Mytilus edulis: one gene and its partners. The protein of the gene in region 1 purifies or fractionates together with the protein of each later gene. This does not show direct contact. Links are inferred from orthologs where the notes say so. Each region holds a gene or a part of one and is shown in the gene's direction. Other genes may lie near its edges. The genes, in order: 7SK snRNA methylphosphate capping enzyme-like, squamous cell carcinoma antigen recognized by T-cells 3-like and RNA N(6)-adenosine-methyltransferase mettl16-like.

Region 1 (11,213 bases):
TTTTATACATTGTATAACTTTGAGCAAAATACTATTTAAATTACAATTTTTGCAGGTCTCATTTGATTGACATATTGCTTCAAATGTTATTCAATAATAATTTCATATATTATTTTACATTTATATGAGCAGTCAAAATGTGTTGACCGTATATTTCTATGTCATATACAGTCACTGACCTGATATCACTTTTCCTCATGAATATTTAAATAGAAATTGCTGAAATAAAATTAATTTTTCATACCACCTATTCAACCTGTTCTTGTTTCCAATGTATACAACAACTCAAACTTATTTCTTTTGCAATTTTCATAAAAAAACATAGTTCACTTGTTAATATTTTTGGTTTGCAAACTATAAATCATTATGTTTTATGCTTATTGTTGATATTTTAGTTCATTCTCAAACAAGTTGTTCACCATCGATTACGGCTTTCAACAGGTAATGTACATTTCAATGTGTTGTATATTTCTCCGCCTGCATGATATGAGGCCTTTTTTTAAACGGGGAAGTTTCCCAATATATAAATCAAATAATAAATTAAACAACAGATGAAAATGGTTATTTTTAGATTGCAGTATAAAGACAATAATAGTGCATTGACTGGACATATCAACTATATAAGGATTCGGCTCGAACCAGGGAAATAGCCTCATCCTTATATCGATAATATGTCAAGTCAATGCACTTTTATTGTCTATATACTAATTTCAATAAAAGATGATTTTATTTTTTATCCTGGAATATTGTTCCATGTTCTTATTTTTCCTGTTGACTTAAAAAAAGATTATCCGGCAAATATAAATACAAACATTGGCATTGTATATTACCCTCCAATAGTTTTATTTTAAACATTTTGAATATATTTTAAAATGTTGGTACACTCTGACCATAACTTCCCAGAAGAAGATGAAATGAACAAAATGAAAGTTAATTATTTTATTAATTTAGAAAAAAATTACCTTAAGGGATTTCTTTGTTCCTTTCTTTTTGGTCTTCTCACTTGATTCTTCCTTTACCTCCTTTTTTTCCTGAAACAGCATCAAACCTAAGCTTAGAATCAAAGAGCAGATTGCTCTGAGGGATACAATTGCCATTATTTTCATTGACACATGTATACATGTAGCTGGATAATACTATTTTCAAAACCAATTCAACTGCACATGTAATTTACGTAATCTGAATAGTTACAAAATAGCCAATTCTGGATACAAGTGTATGAACAATGTAATTAGGCCTATTGTGTTTTATTTTTGTACTATCAATTCCATAGATATAGATAAATTCAGCCGTATAAGAAAAGCAAAATGAGAATGTTAAATTTGATGTATGCCTACTTTGTTACAGTTGTTGTTTATGTAGTGATATTAAGATGATAACACAATATTGACTGTTGTACCCCTATTTTTGACATTTTTACTCTTTGAGTATGTTTGTTTTGTTCATGCATCGTTGACAATGTAATGGAATTTGATGCGACTGTCATACAAGTGAGAGGTTTAGCTAGCTATAAAACCAGGTTCAATCCACCATTTTCTACATTAGAAAATGCCTGTACCAAGTCAGGAATATGACAGTTGTTATCCATTCTTTTGATGTGTTTGGACTTTTGATTTTGCCTTTTGATTTTTGATTTTCCTTTTTGAATTTTCCTCGGAGTTCAGTATTTTTGTGTTTTTACTTTTTTCCAAGTTTACTTTCTACAGCAGTCACTGAGACTTCCTGTACGAACTGTGACGCCCGTATATGACACGGAAACCAGGCGTAAAAATCATACTTTATCCTGGCGGCATTGCAGTGTTTACTGAATGCATGTCCAGGCGTCAACCAGGCGTAAACCAGGCGTAAATTAGGCGTAACTAAGGCGTAAACCAGGCGTAAAATTAGGCGTAATATTTAAATGAGTACGCCTGGTTCACAAAAAAATAGGCGTAATATGCAAATGAGTATGCCTGGTCAATAAATAAACCAGGCGTAATATCCTTACATAATACTACACTTATTTTAGTTCAGTGTATTAACCCTAAGCTGTGTACTTTTGTGTATTGATACAAACTTCTGTACTGTTGCTTTTATTTCTTATTGTTTGACAAAAAACTTGAAATATTAAACATTGAAGAAGCTAATATAGAAATAAATACATTTTATGCAGACAATGGCTCAAATAAGTTTAAGTTTAAATCAGAATTATAACAACTATTTTTTCTTGAAATAGCATTTTAACTAAGTTGTTTTTGAAAATTATTGTCTTTTGAACTAATTTATAAATGATAATACTGCAATTTAACTTTAAGTAAAAGATTTTAATGTTATTTATCCAAGGATAAAGGTTTTGGGATTTCAAAAATTCTGATAGAACATAATACTTTTAAATAACTTAGTTATACTCACATTATTATTATTTACCATGCATAACTACTTTCCTTTTATTTCACAATTTTCATTTATTTATTAGATTCAGTATTTCCAATTTCAGATTCTTCCAAAAAGCACAAAACAAGCAAATTATCCCTGAATATATGAAGCTGCCATGTGTCCAACCTTTACACACTAAAACCAAAGAGCCAAATTTTGAAAAAAAAATCCCATGATCCTTTAAACAAAGCATTATGGGTATTTCTATTTACGCCATACCAACAGTTTTACGCCCGTAAGAAAATTTACGTCTTGCCTATTTCAATTTACGCCCGTAAGAAAACTTACGCCTTGCTTATTTCAATTTACGCCAGGTTAACTGCTTTTTTCTACGCCCGTAAGGACTACAAATTTACGTTTCCTGCTCCCTTACGCTTGGATCTAGACACGTAACTACCACTTACGCCTGGTTTACGCCTTATTTCCAGGCGTAATACGCCTTATAATTTCGTACGGGTTAGAGTGAGAGAAGGTATTTCACTTCGTATCTTATCACCTATTTTCCTACATTAATTCTAGGAGGAACTCCATTCCTAACTCTTTAAATATTTAATTTCCTTTGGGTCAGTGGTCATGACTCCTTTCCGTACACATTCCTCGGTTTAAATTGCGATCGTTTTTAATATAATAAGACGTTTATCGACAGAACGAGTTAATTTTTCTCGACGTGTTGTATCTCTCAGAATTGACGGAAGTTACTTCCCAAAGGGAAACAACATGAAACGATAATATTGAAGACTCCATTTTGCCTGAAGGGGTGTTATAGTTACACCTCTACAATGGGGACTACATTTATTTTAATTTAAATGATGCATATGATTTAAAATTATGCAACAACAATAACCCTCAATAGCAGACATACATAGAAAGGAACCCATGAGTTTTAAATTAATCAATTGAGTGGGGAATCCAGAGCAACCATTCAATCTAATACCCCTTGAAGTCAAGAAAACTATATGCATGCACATAATTACCAAAACAAACCCTTGAGCAAGAACCTATATTAAATGTTAATTAAACGACCTAGATGATTCTCTATTTCTTTATGGAAGTACAATATCAAATATCAGTTTCATAACGGTGACATATGAGAAAAACTCTACTTCAGTTCTTATATGACAGATATAGATTTATCGGAATTCAGAGAACTCTCGCATTTTTATCAAAACTGGGGAATTCCATCTGACGCGTATCTAAATTTATAAAAACACTAAATATGAATACAGCTTAATTCTGATTTTCCGTGTTATTAAAAACAGGCATATAAGTCAAGGGAAATATCAAACATGAAGATTATGAAAAGAACATTATAGGAAAGTTGTTTAAGTTCAATCCCTTTGTTTGTTTTTACCTTTTAAAGCAAGACAATCATAAGAATCTGAGATGTTCCTTAGTGTTTAGAATAAAACGGTTGAGGTGAGGGCATGGACCTGAGCCAATGGTATAAGTCTACAGATTGCTTGAAAGTAATCATATCCCAAAAATGATTGGTATCCCTTTTTACTTTTACCTATTAGAAAGCAGTAATTTTTTTGTGTTGAAATAATTAAGGGGAGATAATTCTATTTGGAATTATCTTTTTGAAATTTGGAATCGGGTATAGAAAAAAGCATTTTGTTTCCAGAATCAGTTGTCTACAGTATTAAAGTTAACAGAAATAATGTCTGGCCTTGAATATGAGGATACGAAATCTGAAAATTTGTGAATTAATTTTCCAAAAAATTTTACAACTGTTTTGAGGAGAATTTCAAAAGAGCACACAAGAGGTCTTCCTTACATAGGTATTACCTGTGCAAAAAAATAAAACTTAACTATCAGTACCTTTTTTTGTCCAAAATTCTATTCTTATTCTAGCTTATTTAAGGTGGTACCCAACACCGTCACTAAAATAAATTTGGCTCGTTAAATTTTCAAAAAATTTTGACAAAGTATTTACTTTGACAGAAATATAAAAATTTCAAAAAATTTGAACCAACCAATTTATCAGAAAAATTACACTGGTTACATAGCAGTTTGACTAACACTAATTTTGATCATTGAGAAGCTTAATATTCCCTAACCAACACAACATAATTAAAGCGTTCATCTGATTTTACAGAGTTATCTCCCTGTAGTGTTAGGTACCACCTTAATTAAAATAAATTTACAAAAATTGGGCTATTAATTTATACATGGAAAAAAACTAACAATATCTGAGGTGCATGGAGCTTGGAAAAGGCTTTTCTTTGACTTGACTTTCTTTGGAACCACTGCAGTATTCTCCTTGTCCTGTTCTTTGTCTATGACATCATTAGAATCATCACATTTTCCAGAACTTGGCTGTTATAAAAAATGCAAAATTTTAAATGCAGTTAAGTTATATAATGCACACAATCCTATTCATGCTATTGTGGGAGAATATTTAAAGATGCATTTTATATTCAATAGATATAAGAAGATGTGATATGAGTGCCTATGAGACAATACCTATATAATACAAGCATGTTTTGAAAGCTCAGAATCTTCAAACTTTTGTCTATTAGAAGAACACATGAGATCTACTATAAAATTGAATTTGATTTTGATCAGAGAAGTACTTTACCTATACCAGAATAAAGTACAAATTAAACTTAAAGTTAATGCATAGGTTTTTATATTCTTGTGTACCTACTGGTTAATCAAATCCAAGAAAAATAATTAGACAATAAGATAATATTGTGCAGGTATTCATTATTTGTATATATGACTTCAGGTAAGACAATATTGTCTAAAAGTCTGTCTGAACTTGAACATCTTTTGATTTGACAAATTGAGAAGCTTTTAAATGTTTAATTTTAAGAAGCAGCTAGATTTTTTTGTGAAATTAACTCTCACACCTAGTGTTGATCAGTTTAATTTACCTGAACCTGAACAATTTCAGATCTGGCAGTATTATTTTCAGCAGTCTTAAACAGATTTTTGGGACTCAATAGTAAGTTCTCAGCTTTTACTTCTGCTTTAAGCTTTGGTACTGGAAAACAAATATATAAAGGTAAGATACATAGATTATAATGGCATTTTTGTTTCTATTAATACTGATCTATATTTGAAGAATATCCATTAGCAAGCCAACAAGGTGTACTGTAATTTTTTAAAAGAATTAAATTTTTACAACATTTTTTTTCTTCATATCCTTCATTGCAATCCTAGCTAGCTGTGAAAACGTAGCTCTTAATTCCTTTTGATGATTTTTGATATTTGCGGATCAAAAGGACTATGTTTTCGCAGCTAAATCCTAGCATGAAAAGATGTTTTGTGATTTTCTTTTTTTAAACCAAAAAATTTGTTTTCTTCAACAATGTTTAGGGGATAATTTCAAAAGGGCACAAATGAGATTATCCTTTCATAGGATTTTACACTATACATGTAGATGCAAAACAATTGAAAATCAGACAGTTGAGGCAATCTTGATGTGACAGAAGTGCTGCAGACAGACTAACTGACCTATAGGGTATGGGTTGACTAAGACGGAAGGGCAGTAATTAATTTTTACCTGCAAATGTCTTTTTAAAACAAGGCTTCTTTGGGTCAGTCATTTCTATATGCTGAAACAAAAACAGAAAAAGTTAGAAAATATAATTGCTGATCTTTAAAAATAATGCATTACATTTGATAAATGATTTAACCAAGTCATCATCGGAGCACTTATAGTTGATCTATTATATGACAATCTATTTTTCAGTTCATGACTTTTTAAATGCAGTAATTGTTACTTTTGATCACTCAAAGGGTGCCATAAAAAAATCTCTAATGTCTGCATATCTTGTGGCTCAGAGCAAAAGCATATTTTCTTTTTAGATATTATATTGTTGTATATATTGGTGTATAAGTAAAATATCTTTCAGGTTTAATGCACTGGTTTATATAAGATACTTAATTCATCCAATTCAATGTGTTTGAAACGATCATTTTTGGTTCAATACATCACAAATACAATTGTTAAATTTAAAGATGCATACATATATATTCAAAACCACAGGAATCGGAAGTTCTATCAATAAAATTCTGTAAATTCTACGAGAAGTTCTATAATTGATAGTCGACCTTATTATTTACAGAATTTTATTGATAGATCTTCCGATTCCTGTGGTCAAACCACTACATTATGCCTTTAGCTTATGAACTAAAGGCATAGCATCTTATAAAATTATCTTGCTCAGCTCATGTCTTGAGCAGCTGTCTGGAACATCATCATAAACAACAATAACTTAAAAGGAGAAGAAAAGCAGTTATCAATCAATCATAAAAAACTTGATGATTATTTCATTGCTTATAAGGTCATGTGATGTCATAAAAACAAAATGTTCTAAACCTGTATCATAATGAAAATTGAATAAATAAAAATAATTGTGTAAAATGTAAGTCAAGTGCTTGCAACAACTGTTTGTTTTAAACCTGTGTTATGTTAAGAAATTGTTGCAAATATTTTGTACTCCTCATAAATATCTGTACCTTCAATTTTCTTAGAGAGCCATACAGTGCTTAGTCTTCTGGGAATAGTCAAAATCTGTTTTCTTGTTCAAATGTTTGTTTGCAGACGACAATTTATAGCCTTTCGGAACAACAATTTCCGAAATAATTTCCCACAATTCTATAATTTGCACAGGCGCATTGGATATCCAGTGTGAGCTAACTGCCTTACTGGACGGAGCGCTCAAGGAAACATTAGGAAGTTTACTTCGACTTTGGTGGATATTTTCTGACATTTAATGCTTCGTTAATCTAAAATTGTGCAATTAATATTAACTTTTGAACCTATTCTTCTTGAGAACTGTTAATGCCAGGACGAAATAGGTGATTGTTGTTGTGACCGCATTTTGGCTTGGTCAACCGCCAGGTGGCAGCAAAGTTCCGACGTTTACATTACGAACACGTGCTCGATGTAAACAAACACATAGATTGTGTGTGAAAAGACGTTAAAATGAGTGTTGAAGTGAAGACACCGACCCACACTCAGTTCGAACATTCTGAATTTCTTTGTGGAGATAAACAATCGAGCTCAAAACCAAAACCATCACCTGTTACATTCAAATTTGACGAAAATCAACAGAACTACAACTCTTATAGAAGAGCAAGTGATGGGGGACAAAATTTATCAGTTCAGTGGAAGAAAAGAAAACTAAGCGCTAACAGAAATGATGCTTCTTTCTATGGCCCGGGGTCACGCAGAAAAAGATTCAAGTCAACACCAAGTGAACAGATTGTGTTGCCGACAAAATTTCTTTTAGGTGGAAATATTAATGATCCATTGAACCTAAACAGCATAAATGAAGAGGAAAATGACAAGACACCATATTCGTCACCTGTGCCAACACCAGCACATCGGAAAGAACTTATCAACTCAGTGCCATTCAACATAACAGACCCATTGAATTTAGAGTCAGCAGATGATGAAATAGGAATGAGAGGTGCAAAGAAAAAGAAAAGAAATAAAAAAAGACATGAATCATTTTCTTCTGGTAGTCAGTTAGCAAAGGAATGGGTGCCATCCGAAAAAAGGAAAAATTTAATGCAAGCTTTGAAGATTGAAATAGATGAACCTAAGTTGACTGATATGAATTTAACCCAAATGAAATCTCCACAGATGAAAGAATTAACTTTCAAACTTAGTTCTTCTTCAAAACCAGATAAAATTGTGTCTCCAGTAATCCCACAGTCATCCCCAAGGCCAAGGAAAAGGACGAGATGCTCAAGTATGAGTGATGTTCATGCAAGACCGGAGTCAACAGCAGCTAGAGCAATTTTCAGAACATCATTAAGTCCATCAAGAAATCTTGAGATTCCTAAACCTTTGCCTGTGAAAATATCTAAGAAATCAAACCAAAAACAATCTGGTGCTGTCAAATTTAATAAAAATCCAAAGTTTGTACATGGCAATTACAATAGATACTATGGCTATAGAAACCCAGAAACAGAAGATGACTATAGACTACATTGCTTTAAACAGGAATGGTTTGAGAAGAAAGATGTACTAGATATTGGATGTAATGTTGGACATCTGACACTTTCAATTGCTAGAGATTTCAATCCTACTAAAATAGTAGGAGTAGACATTGATAGAACACTAATTACTGCAGCAAGGAAGAATATAAGGCATTATATTACATCGCGTCAGACGGATTCAAAATCGTTTCCAGTGTCAAACTCCATCAATTATGGTCCGATACTAGCACCGCCTGTGGTTGGGAATAGTCCGAAAGACGGATTTCCATACAATATAACATTTACACAGGTAATTCATACATGCAGTGTCAGCTACATGTACATTTATATGAGTAAGATTTTATATTTAGTTTTTGAACAAGCGCTATTTACAGTCAGTGTATCCCAAACTCTGTACATGTCCAACCGACAAAATGTCAGACAAAAAATCATTTGGTCAGACAGAACTTTAAAGATTTTATGGTTGAATATATATAGAACAAAAATTTCTTTTTTGGTCAGACAAACCCTAAAACAGTTTGACACAGACTGTATACAAGTCTTGACTCTTTCACCCTTCCAGCTTTTTTTCCAGTACATTTTTGTATATGTATGTATGTCAGCAGAAACACAGGTTTTTATTAGGTCTAACATAAAAAAAGGATGTCATATATGCATTGTTTATATGGTTTATGTACATGTACTTAAGCTTAGGTTTATTGTTTACAGAGTAGGTTTTAAGTCTTCCTGTGCAGCAGTCTTCACGCTGAGTGGCAGCCCAGGCTTGTAAAATTGCTCTCGGGCCTGTAAAAATCATATCTTGAGGCCAACAGAATCTAACTAAAAATTTTCAAAAATTGAGCTCTGGGCCTGTAACAGTTCATCGTGAAGACTGGTGCAGTAGTCATTACTATACTTATGGACATAATCTGATGAAATCACCAGCATCCCCTACATGTATGTCACTACATTTAGATGTCAGGCATTTATTATGTTTATCAGGGGCGGATCCAGCAATTTTAAAAAAGAGGGTTCCAACTACATGTCTCATTCAAATGCATTGATCGTCCAAAAAAAAGGTGGGTTCCAACCTCCGGACCCCCCCTGGATCTCTGCGCCTGTTTATTGGGGGGTTGTAACCCATAATCTGCTAGGGCAATTAAATCTTGCTACCTGCTGGATGATCTATATTGAATCAGGTGTGTTATTACACATCATGCTAAGGTTTATATGCATCTCTTTTGTTTTATAAGACCTTTTCTGAGCATAATGCGACTCATATTACAAATTTCGCAGCTCAATTTAAACTGACTCTAATGTAAGTAAGCCTTCGATAGAAAATGCTTGAAAATCACATTTTGGACTAAAGGATCATATTTAAGTACCTTTGTAATACAGGAAAAGGAATTCTTTAAAATTTGTATTTCAGAAAATTAATTTTAATTTTAAATGTATACATGTACATGTATGATGTAATACAAAAGTTACATGTGTACAAATGTATATATATGTTCAACTGACAGCTGATAAATCATATGCATAAAAATGTTTTAACTATATCTAAAAAAAATCTATTAAAAGAATTTTGTTTCCTTTTTTTGGGTCATGCATGTACATGTACATGAAATATGTATACATGTATATATATGCACATGATTTGAAATATAGTGAAAAAAGTAATTTAATATTTGAACGCAATGGTGTAAATGATATATATTTACAAAATTCTAATTGACTTTTCATGATTTCAAGGATGTTTGCAGTAGTTGCTATGGAACTATATGCTCTGTACAGCTGTCAAACAGAATATGGTTTCAGTGAGTTAATTTTGGTGAGGAATATTAAATGTGGTAGTCATGGTAATAACATCTCCTTTGTAATGCAACTTTTACATATAATTACAAAATTTGTACATTGTACTTCCATTATGAATGATTATTTGAATTTAGCATACACATATACATGTATTCACATGCATATTACAGGTATTTTATATGGCTATGAGCTATAGCCATGCACTTTGTACACGTACCAAGAAATTTGTTCAAGTTGTTGAATCATAATTATTGTACAGTAATATTGCATTGGAAGAATTAATGCAATACATATGCATGATTATTATTATATTATGCAACTAATCAAATTAATTGTACAGGTGATGTAAAAATTGTATAAATAAGCTAATTCTTATCATTTTATAAATTTCAGGGAAACTATGTTTTATCATCAGATGAAATGGTAGATCAGCAGAGAGAAGAATATGATGTCATACTAGCTTTAAGCTTAACTAAATGGATTCATTTGAATAACGGTGACATTGGCTTGAAGAGATTTTTCCGTAGGATCTTCAATCATCTTCGACCTGGGGGCAGACTTATCTTGGAACCACAGCCATGGTCATCTTACAAGAAGAAAAAGAAACTCACAGTTAGTACTGAGATTTTAAAATGTTATATATGTATTGTTAAATGGATTATTTTCATAATTTCTAGGTCTATATTAATTAGTAACATAGATTTATTTTAGTTTTCTTGGTTCCTGGTTCTAATCCTCTTTACATGTACATGTAGATATAGAATTAACATAAGGGGATTCCCTGATATTTTCATGTTATTTTAATCTTTATCAGAAAATAGATATTTTTAAATAAATCCATCCTGAAAATATCGCACTATACAATATGTAAAGTAAGAATTTGCAAAAAATTGTTTATGGAAAAAGGGGGGGGATATTGTCATTGAAATCTTTTGAAACACACATTTTGCATGTTTAGAACTTAAAAAGTGACCTAACACTGTATGGAACTTATTTCAGAAGTTATGTACAATATTTCATTTCCTCATGTTCCTATTATTGGC
Region 2 (11,130 bases), on another chromosome or scaffold:
TCTAAAGGCACATGGATGAAAAAGATTTTTTTTTTTTTGGCAAAGGGTGCCGGGGTTATCTTCTCTGTGTTCATAATATACATGAAATATTTGCCACTGCACCTTGTCTGCTCTATAAATTCTTACCCTGAGTTTTCTATCTGTTACATGCCAAGAAATCCTCGCTAAAAATTCCGGTTGACCTCCTGCGGCACCTATTAGTAGTTTAAAGATTGGATTTCATTCAACAAATTAATTTATGACCTGCATGTACGTGTCGCTTAGAACACGGCCACATACCAAATGGTTAATAATAATCATCCATGTAATTTGCTCTATGGGATGTTTGCAAAATTTCAACGGAGGCAATTTCTTGGCATGACGACACAGCCTTCTAGCGATAAAATAATATGTTTGAAAGAACTATGCACTCGGCTACCTTGTTTTCTTCAAATCGTTTTTAAAACGCCTTGGTTTCTTCAATTTGAATTATAGAAAACAAAACTATATATCAAACGAAAACTGGATAAAGTGAGAAGCAAGTTTCTTTCGTTAGTAAAAATTACTACTTCACTGCTTATTTCAGAGTTCGAACCCTACACGTGGTAGCTTGGTTCGACTCCAATCTTAAGTGACTAGGATTGACAGTTTCCCTGCCGAAAGTCAGTGGTTCTCTCCGGGCGTCTCAGCTTTCTACACTCAAAAACAGCTGGGCGCCATGAAAGAGCAAATAATGATAAAAGTGGCATTAAAGACCAACAATGAATACACCAATCATTGCACATCAGATCATAGTTTTGTTCAAACACGAATCTATTTATTTGAAATTGAACTTGACAATAGCAATTTTTCCCGCATCGTATAACGATGAATTCGGATAACACTGTAATATGTGCCGCTGGACATGAAAAAGCTTAACCTTTAATAATTTTAAATAATAGAAAGATTACGAGATGAATTTTAAAGCAGAACTATTTAAAATTAATGTCAGATGTTTAAGGGGAAACCAATAATTAATAAGAAGATATTTAAGATTTTTAAGATTTCCAAGATAAGGGCACATAATTTTAAGGGTACTGTCATTAAAGGTTGGTGTGTCCATCATATTACATATGTGGCAACCTTTTGTTTAAGTTTTATAACAAATTAAACTTTTCAAAGTTATTCAAGTTCCATTACTAACTTAAAGTCGACACCTTATAATGTAGAATATCTATTTTAAATAGAAAAGGGTGTTTTCTATGTCAAAAGATTGCAAAATTTTGGAGAATGAATAGAGCTGTCCCTATTCGAATGCAGCATTCGTTAACTTAATAGACATGTCTTTGATAAGCAATACTTTGAACCACTGACAGGGTCTTTAACGATCCAATGCGCAAAAATGACAAAATTAAAGACAGAGTATTGTCCCTGCTAACCTGAAGAGTGTAGGTTTCAGCTCGAGAGTTCCCAGTGAAGACATTTTTTTTTTGTTTCAGTTAAAAAAAATTGAGGTACAGAAAATCAGATCATTTCGTCTTTTTCTATTTAGTTCTTTGAGTCGCTTTTTTGCTTTTCTTTACTTTAGTATGCATGACATGAAACTTTAAATTCATGTTCTAAAACAATATTTACGTGTGCATTGTGCTTCAATATGAAAATATGGGATAAACGTCAATGATACAGCCACCTAGTGACAGAAACAACCAAAAAGACATGCATGCGCTCGGTTTGACGGTAAACCAGATATATGCGAGATAGCCGCACGGGAGAAAGGAAGAAAGAACCTTCACAATTTGCCATACAATTGTTTTTCCCTTTCTTTTTTTTTTAAATAAATAATTAAAAAAAACTTTCTAATGTAGAGTTCCTAAGATAAAAATATTCCCTGTGGAAGAACCCGCCCCCCTTTTTTTTCGTCCTCTCCGATTTTAACTCTCAAATTAAGCTTTCCACTCTAATTAAAATTAAAACCTTGCTTTCTAACCGATCTATCCTTGTACTGGACCGGCAACTTTCTTCATTTAATAAGAAAAATATACAGTTGCGTTATAAAACATGCATGTTGTCTGCTTGGAGTCCCCGCCCGAAAAGAAAGAAATAGCCTAACTCCAAGATACAATATTCCTGCATCACGTGATTTTTGCCACGTGGAGCTTACATTAGAATGAATACCGAATATGGAAAGTGAAACTACAATTCAAAACATAAAGTCTAAAGGCACATGGATGAAAAAGATTTTTTTTTTTTGGCAAAGGGTGCCGGGGTTATCTTCTCTGTGTTCATAATATACATGAAATATTTGCCACTGCACCTTGTCTGCTCTATAAATTCTTACCCTGAGTTTTCTATCTGTGAGGCCCCTCATGGGGGGGTCCTAGTAATCACATAATCACCATTTTTTTGCCAATATAATCACATAATCATTAAATATTTGCTTATCTTTAGTAATCAAATAATCATAAACTAAAAATACAGTCCTAGGTAATCAAATAATCATGAAATATTTGGCTTAATAATCAAATAATCATTAAAAAAACGGCCAAGTAATCACATAATCAAAAACCCCATGAGGGCCCTCATCTGTTACATGCCAAGAAATCCTCGCTAAAAATTCTGGTTGACCTCCTGCGGCACCTATTAGTAGTTTAAAGATTGGATTTCATTCAACAAATTAATTTATGACCTGCATGTACGTGTCGCTTAGAACACGGCCACATACCAAATGGTTAATAATAATCATCCATGTAATTTGCTCTATGGGATGTTTGCAAAATTTCAACAGAGGCAATTTCTTGGCATGGATCGCTTATGTTGCTTTTATAACACTTATTTGAACTTTAATGCTATGTTTGTACATAATAAAGACATATCACAATGAAAATATGTAAAAACTTTCCTTCAAATCAATTAATTTGGTATTTTCAAAACGTAAACAAATACAGTTTTCCCATGATCCTTTATTCTACAATAGACATACCCGCATATGACAGTGAAAATGAACTAGCTGGATTCACACTTTATATACACTGATACCGCATAGTCAGCTATAAAAGGCCCCGATAAGACAATGTAAATCAATTCAAACGAGAAAACTAACGGCCTTATTTATGTAAAAAATAAATGAACGAAAAACAAATATGTAACACATAAACAAACGACAACCACCTGAATTACAGGCTCCTTTATGAAAAAAAATATAAAGAAATGCTATATTGGGGGAAATTATTTAGACCAATTATAAAACTATAAAAACCGATCAATTATAAAACTGTTAACTGAATCAAATTTTTTAAAGTACTCTATTTCTGCATGGATGAAGCAACGACACCACCATTGTCTTAAATGATGGAGTTAAAAACTCAGTAATTCAAATGAATCCCACGTGAAATTTTTCATGTTATTTTCACGTGAACTTTACAAAAATATGAAGGTATTTTTCATGATTTTAATTAAATTTTTTAACAATCTTATTTTGAAAATTTACGTGAATTCAACGTGTACCTGATTTATGCATGATTCACGTGGAACCAACCAGTTCAAGCAAGTTTCAAGTATATGCTCGTTATGAAAATCAGACGAGATTAATGGGTAATTCATGTGAGTGAAATTTCCAGGTGCAGAACGAAATAAATTATATCAGCAGAATTGTGTATTTCATTACTAGGAAATTAACGAAACCCGACAGCGGAAATAAAAAATAAAATAAACACCATTCAGATCCCGACACATATTTTGTTTTCAATATCTCTGAGTAGTAATACCGTAACGTTACATTCTGTATTCAATAACGTCACACGTTTTCGGTCCAATTCTAATGATATCAATCAACTTTGAAGCCATTTATCTCAAAAACAAGGATGGTGACATATGAGTTTCTATACGTGTATGGATTCAGTATGCAATTCTGGATATTATGTTAGTTTTTTGTTTTTCTCCGTATATAAGAACATAGCCATCCATTGGAAAATCTAAAAAGTTAAGCCGAAAAAAAGGCATTTCCCCTATATACCTAGGTAAATTTGTCGCCAAAATTGACGTTTTCCTATGAAAATACCAAGAAAACAAAAATGGTGACCCCCATTTTTTATTACATATTCCGATATAACTCAATTCAAAGAACACATGTGCCAAAAAGTTTGGAAATCGGGAGATATGCCATTCGGTATCGTGTTACCTTCAGAGCATCAATTTAAGTTTATTGACAATGTCATAGATTTACCTCAAAACGAGAAATATTAGAAAATAAAATAAAAGTTATCTAAATACAGCGTTACATGGGGGTCTCATTGGGGGGTTCCGATCCCGGATCCCGCTTACTGTTTTGTCAGATTCCCGTATCCCGCTTACACTATGTACATAAGCAATTCTCATTTTTTTTTCATTTCCCGGGTCCCGCAAGACCTAATTTCCCGTTTTCACGCCACAATAATTTGACTTTCACGTGTCACGCTTACAAAAAATCGGCAATCCCGCGTCACGCTTAGACCCCAATGAGACCCACTTACATTACCACTGATATCAATAATAAGCTCAGCATTATTAGACTGTCTTTCTCTTTCATATCAGAATATCTAAATATAAGAAATAGTGTACTGATATGATAAATCAATATGTAACTTTTCATTCTATCATGATATGTTATCATGTAACTTTTCACTCTACCATGTCAATTAATATAATTATATGTATACAATAGGTCTTAACCATTATTTGTTAATGAGTTTGCGCCAATAAAATAGTCGTTTTGTATTTGTATTAATTGGCATATTTTAAAAGCTTTGACTGTAGTTGATACACTAGCAAACTTTAGGAGCATTGGCTTCAGCTAGAATCATTGTGGCATCATCTAGAAGCATTGGTTTCAGCTTGAAGCATTGTGGCATCATCTAGAAGCATTGGTTTCAGCTTAAAGCATTGTGGTTTCAGCTTGAATCATTGTGGTTTCAGCTTGAAGCATTGTGGTTTCAGCTTGAAGCATTGTGGTTTCAGCTTGAAGCATTGGTTTCAGCTTGAAGAATTGTGGTTTCAGCTTGAAGCATTGGCATATTTTAAGAGCATTGCATTCAGCTTGAAGCATTTTCATATTCCAAGAGTATTGGCTATATGAATATATGAACCCTGCTTTTTTCAATCCACAAGAAGAGCAGCAGCAAACACCAGTTTTGACATGCCAGGGTTCCAACTTGAGTGAACACGCTAACAAAAGCTAGACCACTGATGTTATCATTGTATGAAGGACATATATACCTTGCAATTAATTAAAATACCAAAAATATAACATATAAAAACTACTATATAAACACCCTGGTTATTGACCCTCAAAATTAGGACAAAATATCAGACGAAAAACCACAAGACTTCTGCATACAGATATGGAGCTATCCAGCTCTTCCACAGTTTGGATAATAAAGTTTTAAAAAATACCTCCCCACAAGATTCCTTTGTTTTGCCCATGATACCGGCAAGCCAATAAATTACTGGTACTGTGGAGTCATTATTATTCGTTGGATACCAATTTTTGTGTTTGTTTCGATAGTACATGTGTGTGAACCACGAATTAAAATGTTCAACGAATAACAAATGTTCTATATGCTTTGTATGTAGAGATTGGCAAAACCATGAAATCAAATACTCACTCCGGAAATGCAAGTTTTCCTCCATCTACTAAAATAGATACCCACGAAAATACTAGTTTTCCTCCATCTACTAAAATAGATACCCACAAAAATGTTAGTTTTCCTCCATCTACTAAAATAGATACCCACGAAAATGCTAGTTTTCCTCCATCCAATAAAATAGATACCCACGAAAATGCAAGTTTTCTTCCATCTACTAAAATAGATACCCACGAAAATGCAAGTTTTCCTCCATCCACTAAAATAGATACCCACGAAAATAGTTAAATTTAGTTAATTCAAGTTAGACTAAGATTTCCAATATCCCTGCCAAAAAAATATTAATCAAACATATTTTTGTCACGAATCTTCCTTTTTATGCATTCATGTACAACTTTTTCTTTTTCTTTTCGTTAAATAATCTTTGCATACTAATAACGTAAACGTGAAAGATAACAAACGAACAAAGGACCCGATACCGTATCTGCTTCCTTGGTTATAGCATTTTTCACAATTACCTCCCTTAGTTCGTATTTTAAACGCAATGGAGGTCTCTACTTCAAACGAAAATAATAAAGAAATGCAAGATAGTGACGACGATGAAAAGGCAGATGTAGAAATGGAATGCGAGAAAGATTCAGATTCCAATGACTCTGACAGCGAAAATGAGGAATCGGAGAGACAGGTTGCAGAACTTCAGAAACAGGTCATTTACTTTTATAGCAAAAACTGAAGCCAAAGCCTTACTCTACTGATCTTTAGTAGACTTTACTATTGGTATTGAAAGAGGTCCAAACTCACATAATAAACCCCATAACAAATACATTATATCGCTATTTCGAAATCTGCACCGGTCGAATATTAAGAATCTGTGTGGTGGAACTATACACCTTATCGCCATTTGTCAGCCATTGCTGGATATCACACAGGTTCCCGTAAAATTTTGACGTCATAAAACAAAATGTCTGACGCCACAATGAAAAAGTGATTGTTGTATGCGTCAAAAGTTCAAGCGGCCGGGTCAGCCAGGATTAGCGATATGGTGTATTGACATCATACAACGAGCACTTCTCCATTGCAGCGTCAGATATTTTGTTTTCATATCATTCTATCCCCAAGTCGATCCAGCCAAAGTCAATCTGTCCCAAGTTGTTCCGTCTCAAGATGATCCATCTAAAGTCAATCCCTCCTAAAACAAAAAATATTTGTATTAAGCATTAAAAAATAAAGCTGTTTATGTTTTTGAATTTTGTAATAAAATGAAAGCTTGACAGTCGAAAAAGCTATCTCTTGAGGAATATTTTCATTATCATGATTATGAATAGATAAGACATTTTTTTGATTATAATGTAACGGGAGTGGAAGTTTCCCGAGTTCAGGGAATATTAGAAAACAGAATACGTTACTCATAATATAGATTTAATCTCAGCCAAATAGATTAAGCACAGTTTACAATGAATAAATATACGGTGGTGGCTAGTCTACTTGTATAAATAAAGGTTCCATATTTGAAAGCCAAACGATATGAGCGTCTGCTCATTTCAAATCCTTAGTGTAGACTGTCCCGAACCCGGTGAGTGACGTCATATGCGTATAGTTCCTATGGACAACGAGCCCGGCCGGGCACGTGCTAGAACAGGAAGTCCCGACAAGGATAATTTCATGGCCGGTCTCGGAAGAAAGAGTTACGGAACTATAAGTAATTATAAAGTTAACCAATTTCCCCAAATAGATAAGTAAACAAAGTGACCACCATTACAATAAATTAAATTACTAAAGATCAAACTATAAAGATCTTGTCACTCATGATTTTGATTAAATAGACAACTTTTGAGTTCAATGCATTTCCATCAAAAACTTTGTTTTTAATAAACATCATGTCTGCATTTAGGGGCGTCGTCACTTCTGTTTCAATGTTTAGAGAATGTTTGGAAAACTATAAAGCTAAATTGCACACTATCTGGTAAATGACGTCATAAAGGAGCACATAATTGACAATTTTTTTCTGGTGACAGACAAACTCAAAAGTTAATTATTATTAATGATACTTTAGCATAATCATCAGGAAAATGTTGAATAATCAAACCAAATATAAATAATCTAATGATTTGATTTAAAACTAGTCATTATAATCAGGATAATGATTATATTGAATTAAATTAAAAACAGTACTTTACCAATTACACCAATTTTTGTATCGACTTAAAACAATTCTTCTGAATATAACTGCAATATTAGGCATACTTCGCTCACTAGTCAGTAAGCATCGAAACTTTTTACTAATTCCATTAACCTGTAATCAAATATATATATATGTCACCAAATCTTGCAAAATTAGTAAAGATTATTAATCGGAAATGCACGATGGTGTTGCATCGAATAAACAGTTCCACTGTGCAATATTCCTTTTTGAAGTTTTTCATTCTTGAAATATTTATATTTTCATCCAAAACTTTTTTGCCCTGTTCTGTAATTAAATGTGTAGTCTATTTTTCAGATATCAAAGAACCCATACCTGTATGATGTTCACATAGATTTAATTAAGTTATTAAAACAACTTGGAGAGTTAGAACAGCTTAGAGATGCCAGACAACGAATGAGTGAATTATTTCCCTTGGCAGAAGGTATGCGAGGAGTCTAAGTTGTTCACATTTTATTGACAAATGAAAATGATTTTCATTGATGGATAAATACAGAGTTCTCTCAATCATTTTTAGCTCACCTGGCCTAAAAGGCCATGTGAGCTTTTCTCATCACTTGGCGTCCGTCGTCGTCGACGTCGTCGTCGTCGTCGTCGTCGTCGTCGTCTGTCGTCGTTAACAATTTTTCAAACATCTTCTCCTCTGAAACTACTGAATGGATTTGAATGAAACTTAACATGATTGTTCCTTAGTATATCCTGCACAAAATGTGCGCTTCGATTTTTGATCCGTCAAAAAACATGGCCGCCGTTACTTAAAATAGAACATAGGGGTCAAATGCAGTTTTTGGCTTATATCTCAAAAACGAAAGCATTTAGAGCAAATCTGACATGGGGTAAAAATGTTCATTAGGTCAAGATCTATCAGCCCTGAAATTTTCAGATGAATCAAACAAACCATTGTTGGGTTGCTGCCACTTAATTGGTAATTTTAAGGAAATTTTGCAGTTTTTGGTCATTATCTTGAATATTATTATAGATAAAGATAAACTGTAAACAGCAAAAAAGATCAGCAAAGTAAGATCTACAAATAAGTTAATATGACCAAAATTGTCAATTGACCCCTTAAGGGGTTATTGTCCTTTAATGACAATTTTTCACAATTTGTTCATCATATTTGCTAACTTTAAAAAATCTTCTCCTCTGAAACTACTGAATGGATTTGGTTAAAACTTAGCATGGTTGTTCCTTAGATTATCCTGCACAAAGTGTGTGCTTTGATTTTTGATCCGTCAAAAAACATGGCCGCCGTTACTTAAAATAGAACATAGGGGTCAAATGCAGTTTTTGGCTTATATCTCAAAAACGAAAGCATTAAGAGCAAATCTGACATGGAGTAAAAATGTTCATTAGGTCAAGATCTATCAGCCCTGAAATTTTCAGATGAATCAAACATCCAATTGTTGGGTTGCTGCCACTTAATTGGTAATTTTAAGGAAATTTTGCAGTTTTTGGTCATTATCTTGAATATTATTATAGATAAAGATAAACTGTAAACAGCAAAAAAGATCAGCAAAGTAAGATCTACAAATAAGTTAATATGACCAAAATTGTCAATTGACCCCTTAAGGGGTTATTGTCCTTTAATGACAATTTTTCACAATTTGTTCATCATATTTGCTAACTTTAAAAAATCTTCTCCTCTGAAACTGCTGAATGGATTTGGTTAAAACTTAGCATGGTTGTTCCTTAGATTATCCTGCACAAAGTGTGTGCTTTGATTTTTGATCCGTCAAAAAACATGGCCACCGTTACTTAAAATAGAACATAGGGGTCAAATGCAGTTTTTGGCTTATATCTCAAAAACGAAAGCATTAAGAGCAAATCTGACATGGAGTAAAAATGTTCATTAGGTCAAGATCTATCAGCCCTGAAATTTTCAGATGAATCAAACATCAAATTGTTGGGTTGCTGCCACTTAATTGGTAATTTTAAGGAAATTTTGCAGTTTTTGGTCATTATCTTGAATATTATTATAGATAAAGATAAACTGTAAACAGCAAATATGATCAGCAAAGTAAGATCTACAAATAAGTCAATTTGACCAAAATTGTCAATTGACCTCTTTAGGAGTTATTGCCCTTTAAAGACTTTTTTCACAATTTGTTCATCATGTTGACTTACTTTAAAAAATCTTCTCTTATGAAACTGCTGTATCAATTTCAGCCAAACTTAGGCTAAATGAGTTTCAGAGTTTCAGAGTATCTAGTATAAATTTTATATTTCATTTCCTTGTATGTCAAGAAACATAGCTCCTATGGCTAAAATAGAACATAGGAGAAAATGATTTTTTTTTTTGCTTTTGAAGAAAATAGGACGATTCAAAGAACATTTAAATAAATTGAAAAGCCAAAATAATCATTGATGAGAGATTAAACCAAAAAAATTCAGGTGAGCGATTCAGGCTCTTGAGAGCCTCTTGTTTTGGAAAATGACGCAGTCATTGTTCCATTACTGGCGACCTGAACTTCATTACATTTCTCTGCCTACCGCGCTTGGTTTCGTATTTACTATTTTCTATACAAACTGGAATCTGCTTGTGTTATCATTAATTATGCATGAGAGGTCATTGTGTAGTAATCAGCCAGGAACCAGTTTACAAACTAACTGGTTTCTGCTTGTATTCCACTACACTCGGACAAAGTGTTGTAGTTTGACGGGAACCAGTTTAGAATTTGTAAACTACAAAACGTAATCGGTTATTGTTCATTCCGTTTTGGTGTTTCATACCGACTTTTATGGTTTGAATAAGCTTAAGACCCTTCAAACATTAATGTGATAGGTATATTAAAGACTGTTTTACAAAAGGATGGAACTGTTTTGCTTTCAAAGTCGTACTATAGTGATATCTGTTATGTACGGATTTCCACTCTCACCGGTTAATTTCTTTTTTTACACGTGCTTTTGAAACTTCCTGTTTAAACATAGCAAGTTTTAAAATTGTTTTTTGAGTGAATTTAACTTATTTTAACAATCATGAAGCGTTCTAGAATCATTTTCAAGCAGTTTCTTCTTCTCTTTGATGATGGAAAATAGGTTTTTCTCAAGAAAATACCGCAAACGATCGCAGAGGAATTGAAACGTACAAGTCAAGTCGGCACCTGGTTAAATTGGCATCTGATCAAATCGGCACGTATTTGACGTCAATTCGGCATCCAATAATATTTGTTATAATATTTTCTATTCAATTAATTAATAACTGTTACCAAGTACATAGTGAATATGTTGTTGTGTATTTAGGTAAACAACGAAACCAAAGTGAAATTATGTTGTTGTGTATAAAGGTAAACAACGAAGCCCTTACCCAAGCTGTTGTTTTAACAATTAGACAATTATTAAAAAAAAATGGAAAAC
Region 3 (11,162 bases), on another chromosome or scaffold:
ACTACTAGTCTGAAGACCAATATCCTGACATTTTTCTTATTTGGCCAAACAAAGTTTTGCAAAAACTTACTAGTCCGAATGAAATTTTACTAGTCTGGGGCATCAGACTAGTGGCTAACCGTGCAGACTGTGATAATGATTATAATAATTACAATCAGTTATCATGGTAGATATTTTTTTCAGTTATGATTTACACGTAGTGTAAATTATCTCCTAACAGACAGTTGACTTACAATTCCTCCCTTTGTCTTTGAGATAAAACCATGGTTGCTTAAAGATAGTAAAACGTTTTCCCCTTCTGTCTTTAGTTAGGATAATGTCAGCACATCTTAATTTAATCTGAAATTTAAAATCAAATATATATATACAAGAGGAACACTCATGTGCCTGGCTGTGGCATGATCACTAAGCATGTATAGCTGATGGAAACTCTGTCACATGATTCCTGACATTCCAAACTTTTATCCATGTTAACACCTGACTTCCAACTGCAACCCATCCAATCATTTTGCCAATTATGATTATCAGCATCAGCATACATGTACATGTATTTCATTTGAATTTATTTTTAATAGTTCTAAAAAAATGCATCTTCAATCTCTTATTAAACTTTACCTTTTTTTCTAATATATATATATATACAAAATATTAAATAAGAATTTAGTTTTCTATATACCAGCTGACAAATGATGGATATCAAACATCAAATACTAATTAAAGACCTAGTCCATGAAGTCCATGAATTAAGATACATTTCCTTGTTCAATTTCCAAACTGATTTACAAATTAATTGATTTTCATCATTGTTCATTGCAGTAAACATGGTTAACTTCAATTTATTACAAGATCAATAATACATTTCGATTCCGTGGCCATTGTAACTACATTCAATAGATTTCCACTGGGAGCTCATTCTATTACTAAAGAATGCATGTATACATGGTATACGAGATATTTAAATTGTTATTAAGCTTTGAATTAATGCATAATCATGATAATCATCTCATCAAATTAATCATAGTCCAGCAATTATGGCAATACTAATGTATAGCAATATTTTCATAAGTTAGTAATTGACATCGTACATCGTACAATCCTCAATACCTGCATACAAGACAAAAAGCAGAAATTGGAACACAAGGCAAAGTTGCCTATATGATACAGGGTTCTTATTAAGGATTTGTGAAGGCGAGTATAGAGACATGTCATTTTTAACACTGGCGAGTCCAACATTAAGAAAAGGATATTTTATAGCAATATATTTATCATTCTAGTCTCCATGACCTAATAGAGCAGTGAAATTACATTAAATTTTGCTATAAAATGATGCTACAAAATGTATGTGTGTTCAGTTTATAAAAATTTTACAATCTTGATCAATGCATCTTTGGACTCACCAGTTTTGAAAATGGTGAGTCCAGGACTCATTGACTCACCTCAGTGAGAACCTTGTGATATATGTACATTGTAGTAAGTACAGTATTTGAAATCATTAATTACAGATAATTTCACCAGGCAGATTAACTAGCCCCTTGGGGCAAATTCTCTAAAACTGTTGAGTCTGTGAAATCCACATGGGTCATTCAGAGCCCTTATCCTCTCTCTTATCAACTTCAGTTTTAACAGGAATAAATGTTGATGTAAATAATAGGAAAGCAATTATCCAGACAAAGGGGCTTATTATGCAGGATTACATGTACATGTACATGTACATCCAGTTTTCATGAAATCAAGGAGGTCATATGAGAAGGAGAGTGAACACTTTGCTTGGTACAAAATAAGCATTCCCAGGATAGCAGTTCGATCAGAGAAAAATGATAATCAAAGAGCAGATTGCTCTGAGGGATACGATTGCCGTTGTTTCGTTGACACATGTACATGTATACATGTAGCTGGATAATATTATTTTCAAAACTAATTCAACTGCACATGTAAAATAGTTACAAAATAGCCAATCCCGGATAAATGTGTATGAACAATGCAATTAGGCCTATTGTGTTTTATTTTTGTACTATCAATTCCAAGTTTACTTTCCACAGCAGTCACTGAGACTCAGAGTGAGAGAAGGTATTTCACTTCGTATCTTATCACCTATTTTCCTACGTTAATTCTAGGAGGAACCCCATTCCTAACTCTTTAAATATTTAATTTCCTTTCGGTCACTGATCATGACTCCTTTCCGTACACATTTATCGGTTTAAATTTCGATCATTTTTAATATAATACACTTTATTGACAGAACGAGCTAATACCTGACGTATTGTTTTAATTCAGAATTCACGGAAGTTACTTCCAGAAGGGAGACAACTCGAAACAATAATATGGAAGACTCCATTTCGCCTGAAGGGGTGTTCTACGATGTGGACTATATTTACTTTAATTTAAATGATGCATATGATTTAAAATTATGCAACAATAATAACCTTCAATAGCAGACATACATAGAAAAGATCCCATGAGTTTAACATTAATTAATTGAGTGGGGAATCCAGAGCAACCATTCAATCGAAAACCCCTCGAAGTCAAGAAAACTATACGCATGCGCATAATTTCCAAAAAAAACCTGGAGCAAGATATATTAAATGTTTATTAAACGATCTAGATAGTTCTCTATTTCTTTATGGAAGTACAATCTCAAATATCAGTTTCATAAAGGTAAAATATAAGAAAAACTCCACTTCAGTTCTTATATGACAGAAATAGATTTATCGGAATTCAGAGAACTCTCGCATTTTATCAAACTGGGAATTCCCTCTAACGTGTTTCTAAATTTAGAAAAACACTAAATATAAATACTGCGTAATTTTGATTTTCCGTGTTGTTAAAAACATGCATATAAGTCAAGGGAATTATCAAACATGAAGATTATGAAAAGAACATTATAGGAAAGTTGTTAAAGTTCAATCCCTTTGTTTGTTTTTACCTTTTAAAGCAAGACAATCATAAGAATCTGAGATGTTCCTTAATGTTTAGAATAAAACGATTGACGTGAGGGCAATGCTCTGAGCCACCAGTATAAGTCTACAGATTGCTTGAAAGCAATCGTATCCCAAAAATATAAAGAAACCGACATGTTTATCACCCACTTGACATGGCCCTCTGATGTACCGGGCTGTTACCGCGAGCAGTAAGGGCTATTAGATAAATGGCATATTTCTGGTAACAATACAGTGTATAAAAAAAAAGATCAGACGCGCAATTTCAAAATCAATCGTCTGTCTACCGTGAAAAAAGATAAGAAATGACAAAGTTATGATGGTTTAAAGGAAAGTTAGTGTGCGATTTTTATTCAACACTACATTGCTTTCAACATGTAAACAAAGATTTTCACTTCACCTTCCAATTACTGTTGATGAGAATTGGCAGGTAATAATAATAGAAAATATATGAATATGCAAAGTACTTCCATGTAATTGAAATCACCAATTATGTTATTTATACATGTAGTATATTCAAAATGTTCAAATACTTATAGAACATTGTATAATTATAATTAAACCGTTGATGCAACTTTTTTTGTTAAAATTCATTAGACTTGGTAACATGGAAAATTGCTTTGAGCAACAGTGTACCATTTGATAAGACCAAGGGTATCAAGAGACAAGTTCTGTCCAGTCTGACCTTACGAGCAGGATAGATATTCAAACTGCTCTAAACAATAAGACAAAAATAAATAATACTTGTGTTTACGCTAACCATACATTTTTAGTGCCTACCCTAACACTTTTTATGTCATTTTGGAACTTTTGGAATATTAGATGTAAAATCCTGCAATCTGAGGTTACATTTTTGTATCTGGAAGTGTAGATAACTTTTCAAAAATGTAGAGTTTTTTCTCCATGTAATATGAAAAATTCTACTAAAAAACCTTCTAAAAACTGTTGACAAGACTGTTAAAGACTCTTTTCTTTGAATTTAAGACATACATGTACATGTAAAATAAATGTATACAAGTAGATATAAACCCCTTGCCATCAAATTTTGTTTAAATTAATTTCTCATTCAAATTTGACTTTGGAAGTTAAAGAGATCATCTTTTCTGATGCAGACCGTAAGAAAAGAAGAAAATCAATCAGTTAAAATTTTATTCTTCATAATTTTTCATAATATTTTTCAATTTGCTGAACAACTTCTGTTCAAATACAATAACAAATACAGATACAAATTTGCCTCCTTTTCCCTGCTCCTTACAGTAGCTACAGAACATAACTAGATTCTCGTACTCATAGTACTGGAGCCAGGGACGACCGTCCATCCAATGAATTTTAAATTCTCTAACCCGTTTATCCTCGTATTTCTTTTAAGCCTCTGTAACTTGGTAGGACGTGCGAGACGGCCCTTTTGTTTCCTTTCTAGTCCCAGATTACTCTGACGTCCAACAGCTGTTTTGCCAGACAAGCGGTGGTCCCATGGCCCCAGCTTGTCTGGCAAAATAGCCGTTGGACATCAGAGTAATCTCAGACTAGTGCCTTTCCAGGTCTCGCACTATCCGACAGTGAAGCCTTGTATAAATGATGTTTGTGACCAAAATTATGTGTACACTTTCGAAATGAAAACAAAACTGGTTCCACTTCTTCATAAAATTAATGGTACCCAGTCATCGAAATCGTCCTAATAAGCAATCGTCTAAAATACACAAGATGTCAAGTGGGCAGTTACGAATTAATATCTTTCGACGCAAAAAATTGAAAAATGATCAATGTTTTTTTATTTTCTGTTATTATATTTTATTCAGTCTATGCAACATAAATCAATCAATAATTACCAAAATTTGACATTTTGAAAACATGTGGTACTAACCGTTTTTCGTGCTTTTTATTTTATTTTGAACAATCGGTTATTAGGGAGACTGTCAAAACTGGTTAACGGTATTTTTGTAAGGAAGAGAGTATCAGTTAATTAATATAGATGGCGTTGAGTGACATTCTGCGTTAACTGATGGTAACGATTAAAAAAGTGCACACAGATATGCACTGCCACTAGACCGGTCGGACTATCGGCAGTGTACAATGTATCAGTAGTTTATGTAAACTAGTCTGAGCTTATTTAAACTAGACACGGGCTTCAGGCTACCGCTTAACGTCGCAGACTGCATAAATATTATTTTTTTTGCCTAAATATAGCTATATTAACAATTAAAATACGTATTACACTGAAATTTCGGTTGACAAGCAGACCAAACATGAAAATAAAATTTTGACATCATAAATTATCAGAATTTAAAGATCAAAACAAACGAACTCTAAATCAACTGATACAATCTGAGATCATCAGACAGCATTTGCCTGATGTTCATTCTAATAAACAAAATAAGACGAATTCATTAAGTATCACATCTTGAATAACTTTTGCTGTCTGCCTGAGGGATGGGTTGCAAAAATACTCCACAACTGTCAAACTTGTCATTAGAAAGACAATGGTCAATTTATGTCTAATTTTGCATAAATGGTTAAAACATAATCAATTTCACACTTACACACGTATAAATCGTACATGTAAAAAGATAAATGACATACAAAAGTATGTCTGAAATTTAATGAAATGTTAATTTTTGCATGAAGTCATTCATTGATTTATAATGTCACAGACCGCCATTATGAAGCTGTCTGCAATTCATTTTGAAAATAAGGCACAAGAACAGCAATTTTTCCAATATAAATTTAAAATTTCTAGGTCATGCATAATTCCTTTCTTCAATTTTACCTGTAAACCATTGGAATATGTCTTAAATCAACGAAAATATTATCACTTGCAGGACTCCACACGTAAATTCGTCCGAAAATTGTATGAATACGCATGCGCATACGGAAAACATACGGAAGTCGCACAACGAGACTTCCTCGGGATCCAATATGTCTGCGCCCCTGAAACGTTGTTTTTTAGACGTTTTCATACATTTTATGCTGTCCTGAAATAACATTTGCTAGTAGACATTTGAAGTTGCTTATTTAAGTTTCCTTAAACTATTTAACGGTAAGTACACGATGGTGTTTGATAATATGAGGCAGGCATTACCTGTGAATGAGGACGAAGTTTGCTTAAATTTTTTTTTTTATTTTAATTCTGTATTCTGTATTTTAAATATTTGTTACAAAAAAAGATACGGAAATACCGTAACGTTTCCGATTTTGGTTCTGTTGTTAGGGATTTTACTTGTGACGTTATTTAAGTTATGACGTCATGTTCAATGTAAACAAAGAAACGCAATGCATCAGGTAGGCCTAACGTTTAATATGAGGCAGGCATTACCTGTAAATGGGGACGAAGTCTGTATGAATTATTTTTTTGTAACTTTTAAAAACATTTGTTTAAAAAAAAAGAAACGTAAATACCGTAACGTTTCCGATTTTTGTTCTGTTGTTAGGGATTTAGTTGTGACGTTATTTAAATTATGACGTCATATGCAATGTAAACAAAGAAACGCTATCATCAGGTAACATTTTTCCCCCGCAAGCCGGACCAGATGGCCATTATAAAAAAAATCCGAAATATATTGCTTGCAGAGATTTTTTCTGTGTTCCCATGGCTGGACGGAACTTTTACGCTAAATATGTTAACGTTATCTATGATTTTGTAACTTTTAAATGAAGTACCTGTGATTATTTGGGTAATTTGTTTTGACCTCACTGTTAAAGGAATGTTGAAGCAGACGAAACATGGCGTCAGATGTTGTTGTCCTAACTTCGATAATTTCCGTGGTACGATAAAATTTAGATAAGCTACACAAGTAACCAAAATTTCTGAATTCTTGTTTTTGCAAACAAATAAAAATTCATGTTGTATTTAATATCAAAATTATTCCGATCTGTCCCGTTTTTTCAAGGTCACGTTGAAACGTTAAATTCGGCCGCCATTAAAAAAAATAATCATACGAGATTTAACGAGAGTGACGAAACTTTTCAGATGGGTCGTGTAGAGAGAGTTATCGTTCTTTATTCCAAAACGATGCTTCTACCATAAGTGCCAGCTAAAGCTGGCATACTAGACTGATAAATATATATTTTACTCAAAGTTTCATACAAACGAGACCGGAAAAAGGAAGTACATTATACATTTCTGCGCAGGTCCGGGATTTCAAAACACGACAAAAAAAATTTGAACGATTTTGAGTTCATTAGTACAATGAAAAATTCGGGAAATTTTCCCGTATTTTTTTTTTTTATTGAATTTTCTACTGTTATTGGGGACTCCGTCCCCATATTAATTCATACCAAAGACAAAGAATGATTAAAAATGAAATATTGGTATTGTGTTCCTTGAGTTCCTATATTTTACTAGACTAATCAAAGTCTCACGAAAACAAGACTGGAAGAAGGAAGTAGAGTTATGTGTTCTGAGCAGATCCGGAAATTAAAAAACATGACAAAAAAAAAATTGAACGATTTTGAGTTCATTAGTACAATGACCGAAATTTTCCCAATTTTTTTTTTTTTTTGAATTTTATACTGTAATAGGGGACTTTGTCCCCATATTATAGTCGTCCTCGTACTCGCGAGTCTTTCGCTTTGGATAGAAGTGCTCTATATGATCATACACAGTATGAAAAAAAACAAAATATATAGGATAGCGATCGCCATTGACAGTAAAACCTCGTCTGAGCCACTAAACAAGCCCCTGTGTATCATATATGGGGTAGAAATGTCTAATACCGTCAGTCGTCAAACGATAATTTTTGGCTACTGTAAAGCATTAAATTAGTTAAATTTTACCATGATTTGTCAAAATATCCTTCTTTTGATTCGTAAGAGTTATCAAAATATTTAAATTATCTTTTGCATCATTTTTGGAATAATGTCGAAATAAGTCATGTAAGTCAATTGTTTATCGTATAAAAGTGTACATATTATTGTCATGCACAAAAAATTACAGTTACAGCAATTGGTTTGAAGTTTTACTGTTATTCATCATGAAGCCTGAAGATACTCCCATTACCTACCTCCTATATCTTTATATATATATATATATATTTTTGTTTCTAAATTGACAAAATATTCTTGAATATTGATGCCTGCAGGAAAAATTAGTTTGAACAAGTGTTTTTGATATAAATTTTGAGAGCCTCAATGCTCTTGAAGTTGGGTGCTCAACTCAATCTCAAAGCACACAAGAAAGCCACAGGCACTTGTCTTGAATTTCCCCCCCCCCCCCCCCCCCCCCCATATGTTACCTATTCCATTGTATTCTGTATTTTCCACCTTTACCAGATGAACCACTTCAGTTGGAAAATCCTCTTGAAGTGTAGAATCCCTTATTATTGAATATTCACTATTATTGGATTAAAAACATCTTCTACATGTATATATACATTTACACTTATATACACCACCACCACACTTATTTAAAAGTATTCAAACTGTATATACAGCATGTACAGTCATATTTTAAAATCTAAAACTTGATAGATTGATCCACTGTCATTTTGTCCTTTATTTCACTTGTGTCTCTCTCCTCATCAATAGAATATATATACATCACATGTATCCACAACGCATATTGACTGTAAAACTTGCTCAGATCAGCAAATGTCTATTTCACACTTAAACATGCTCATAAAATGCGAACTGTAATTCCTAACCCTTGCTCTTATACCTAGTATTTACCCCTATCAAGAGAGCCTTACTACAGAATTATTAATTCTTAAACTTACGGTAATGAAAAATTTCACTGTTAATCATGTTAATTGTACTTCATGTACTTATGACTTAGCAACAAGTAAACATTTAAAATCTAAAAAGAAGGTGTAAAATTATCACCTATCATATAAGCGTTAAATAAGACCGCCTAACTGATTTGTTTAAAAATATTAAACTAACAATCAGTTTAAATCTTAAGAAATTATTATCATCTATACCACACTCAAAAAATGAAATATTGCACTATATGTCTCTTTTAACTTGGAAAACTATACAAACAGTCTTCATAGTAATAAACTAGTTCTCTTCTGATGTAGACCAAAACATAAGCTGCTTAACAGGCGCTCAATATTTATCCATACTGGAATTTTGTACAGTCCACTATTAATTGTAATAGCTTATCTTCAAAGTTAAATAAATCATCCACAAGAAGAGCATTAATCTTATGTACCATAATATTATGAGGCAGGCATTACCTGTGAATGGGGAGTAAGTCTGTATGAATTATTTTTTTTGTAACTAAATATTTGTTAAAAAAAAGAAACGGAAATATCAGATTTTGATTCTGTTGTTATGGATTTGTTACTTGTGATGTTATTTAAGTTATGATGTGATGTTCAATGTAAACAAAGAAAGACATGAAAGACAATGCATCAGGTAACCATGGTAACCGTAACGTTAATTCATATCAGAGACATGAGTATTAAAATGAAATTTTGGTATTGTGTTCCTTGAGTTCCTATATTTTACTAGACTACTCAAAGTCTCACGACAACGAGACCAGAAGAAGGAAGTAGTTTCTGTGTTCTGTGCAAATGCAGGAATTAAAAAAGCGACAAATAAAAGTTAACAATTTTGAGTTGATGAGTACAATGAAAATTTCCTGACCAATTTTTTTTTTTATTTTATTGATTTTTCTACTGTTACAGAGAACTTCGTCCTCATATAAAACAAGGTACTTAACTTGTCTTTTGAAAAAAGTCACCCAAAACATACAACTGGCAGAAAAAGGTATTTTCCCACTCTCTTCATGATCATGTAGTTTCTTATTCTATCTGCACAAAAAAAGATAACTTTTAATGAACTAAACACATATTCTGCGGAATTTGTAAGATACATGTACTTATACAAACTGTACAAGTGTAATTTATTTACCTTTAATAAAATATTTTTTACAGAATTAATTATGGCGTTGAATAAGTTCATGCATCCAAGGAACAAGTACAAAAGCAAGAAGGCAAATTTCCAGTACCTTGCCATCAAATATCCAGAATTTAGGAAACATGTTTATCCAGATGTAAGTGGAAAGCTTTTTCTTGACTTCAGAAATCCTGATTCTTTAAGACAGCTTTCCACCACACTTATGAAAGAAGACTTTGGATTGGATGTTGTGTTGCCTCCTGATAGACTGGTACCTACCATTCCTTTGAGGCTTAACTATATCTTATGGATAGAAGATATTTTGAAAGATTCCAGTATTAAGGGAGACATTTTAGGAATAGATGTTGGTAATATTAAGCATACATATTATAATTTATTAGAATCTTGAGAAACAAAATATAGAACATGTAGAATCAGAAAATATTCTCCACGATTAAAAAAAGGAAATGTGGTATGATTGCCAATGAAACATTTTTTTACTCTTCCATGTCTTCACATGAGACCAAATGACACAGAAGTTACATTTGTAACATCTATAGGTCACTACAACCTTCAACAATGAAAAAGCACATACTGCATAGTCAGCTACATGTATAAAAGGGCCTTAAATGTCAAATATTCTCCTTGAGGTCAATTAATTCTGATAGGATAATAATAACAATGACATCCAGAGGGCAATATAACAGTCTTTTACAAAAAAACAAGACTAACACTCAATGTAACTTGACAAGCTTTTAATGTTTGAGTTTATAAGTAAAAAAAGTTACATAAATGAAATAGAAACAATTAACATGATTAAAGACTTGCCTTTATTAACTAATTCTTTAAATGAGAAAAAAACTATTAAGATATGACTAATTTAAGACAACAACTGAACTCAGAACAGGCACTTGTGTATGCAGATGTGACTTGATTTACTTGAAATGATTTTTATATGAGAGGTATATGCTCCTCGTTTTAAAACGTGATGTTTAGATTAACAAAACCTGCATTTAGAGAGAACATACAATGAAAATAAGTCCTGGAAAAGGTTTGTATCAGACAAACATTCAACATGCTAAAATAACAACCAAACTTTTAATTTAGTTGCATTAGGAAAATAGCTCTGCTGGTAATAGCAGGAAAACGTTAAATTCTGATTTTTGTTTTTAACAGGAACAGGAGGAAGTTGTGTATATCCCCTCCTCTCTGCTAGGATGAATAAATGGAGATTTCTTGCTACTGAACTTGATGATACAAACTTTACATGTGCTGTCAAAAATGTGGAAAGAAACCAGATGACCAATTTAATACAAGGTAAAAATAGTTTTAATTTTATCAATCATATCAATAAAATGTCAGTAAAAACTAAGTTTTAAAGAGATGCCA

What was found.
Region 2: the proteins of 7SK snRNA methylphosphate capping enzyme-like (region 1) and squamous cell carcinoma antigen recognized by T-cells 3-like purify together in Homo sapiens (affinity purification with mass spectrometry; 6 studies listed by BioGRID and IntAct, counting the BioPlex papers as one, with this or other methods). This does not show direct contact. The link is inferred for Mytilus edulis from reciprocal best matches to the Homo sapiens genes MEPCE and SART3.
Region 3: the proteins of 7SK snRNA methylphosphate capping enzyme-like (region 1) and RNA N(6)-adenosine-methyltransferase mettl16-like purify together in Homo sapiens (affinity purification with mass spectrometry; 3 studies listed by BioGRID). This does not show direct contact. The link is inferred for Mytilus edulis from reciprocal best matches to the Homo sapiens genes MEPCE and METTL16.

The regions. Positions count from the first base shown.
Region 1 is NC_092356.1:27,037,249-27,048,461, reverse strand, and holds the start of 7SK snRNA methylphosphate capping enzyme-like, read left to right. Parts: upstream 1-7,030; 5' UTR 7,031-7,354; coding exon 7,355-8,665; intron 8,666-10,563; coding exon 10,564-10,782; intron 10,783-11,213. Other genes in the region: zinc finger CW-type PWWP domain protein 1-like, read right to left, coding at 963-1,031, 4,603-4,734, 5,295-5,404, 5,927-5,969. UniProt on the Homo sapiens protein: S-adenosyl-L-methionine-dependent methyltransferase that adds a methylphosphate cap at the 5'-end of 7SK snRNA (7SK RNA), leading to stabilize it.
Region 2 is NC_092349.1:30,325,886-30,337,015, reverse strand, and holds the start of squamous cell carcinoma antigen recognized by T-cells 3-like, read left to right. Parts: upstream 1-6,079; 5' UTR 6,080-6,120; coding exon 6,121-6,282; intron 6,283-8,073; coding exon 8,074-8,200; intron 8,201-11,130. UniProt on the Homo sapiens protein: U6 snRNP-binding protein that functions as a recycling factor of the splicing machinery. Promotes the initial reassembly of U4 and U6 snRNPs following their ejection from the spliceosome during its maturation.
Region 3 is NC_092349.1:6,455,415-6,466,576, forward strand, and holds the start of RNA N(6)-adenosine-methyltransferase mettl16-like, read left to right. Parts: upstream 1-5,818; 5' UTR 5,819-5,973; intron 5,974-6,098; exon of another isoform or gene 6,099-6,215; intron 6,216-9,811; 5' UTR 9,812-9,819; coding exon 9,820-10,141; intron 10,142-10,949; coding exon 10,950-11,090; intron 11,091-11,162. Other genes in the region: lissencephaly-1 homolog, read right to left, coding at 234-265. UniProt on the Homo sapiens protein: RNA N6-methyltransferase that methylates adenosine residues at the N(6) position of a subset of RNAs and is involved in S-adenosyl-L-methionine homeostasis by regulating expression of MAT2A transcripts.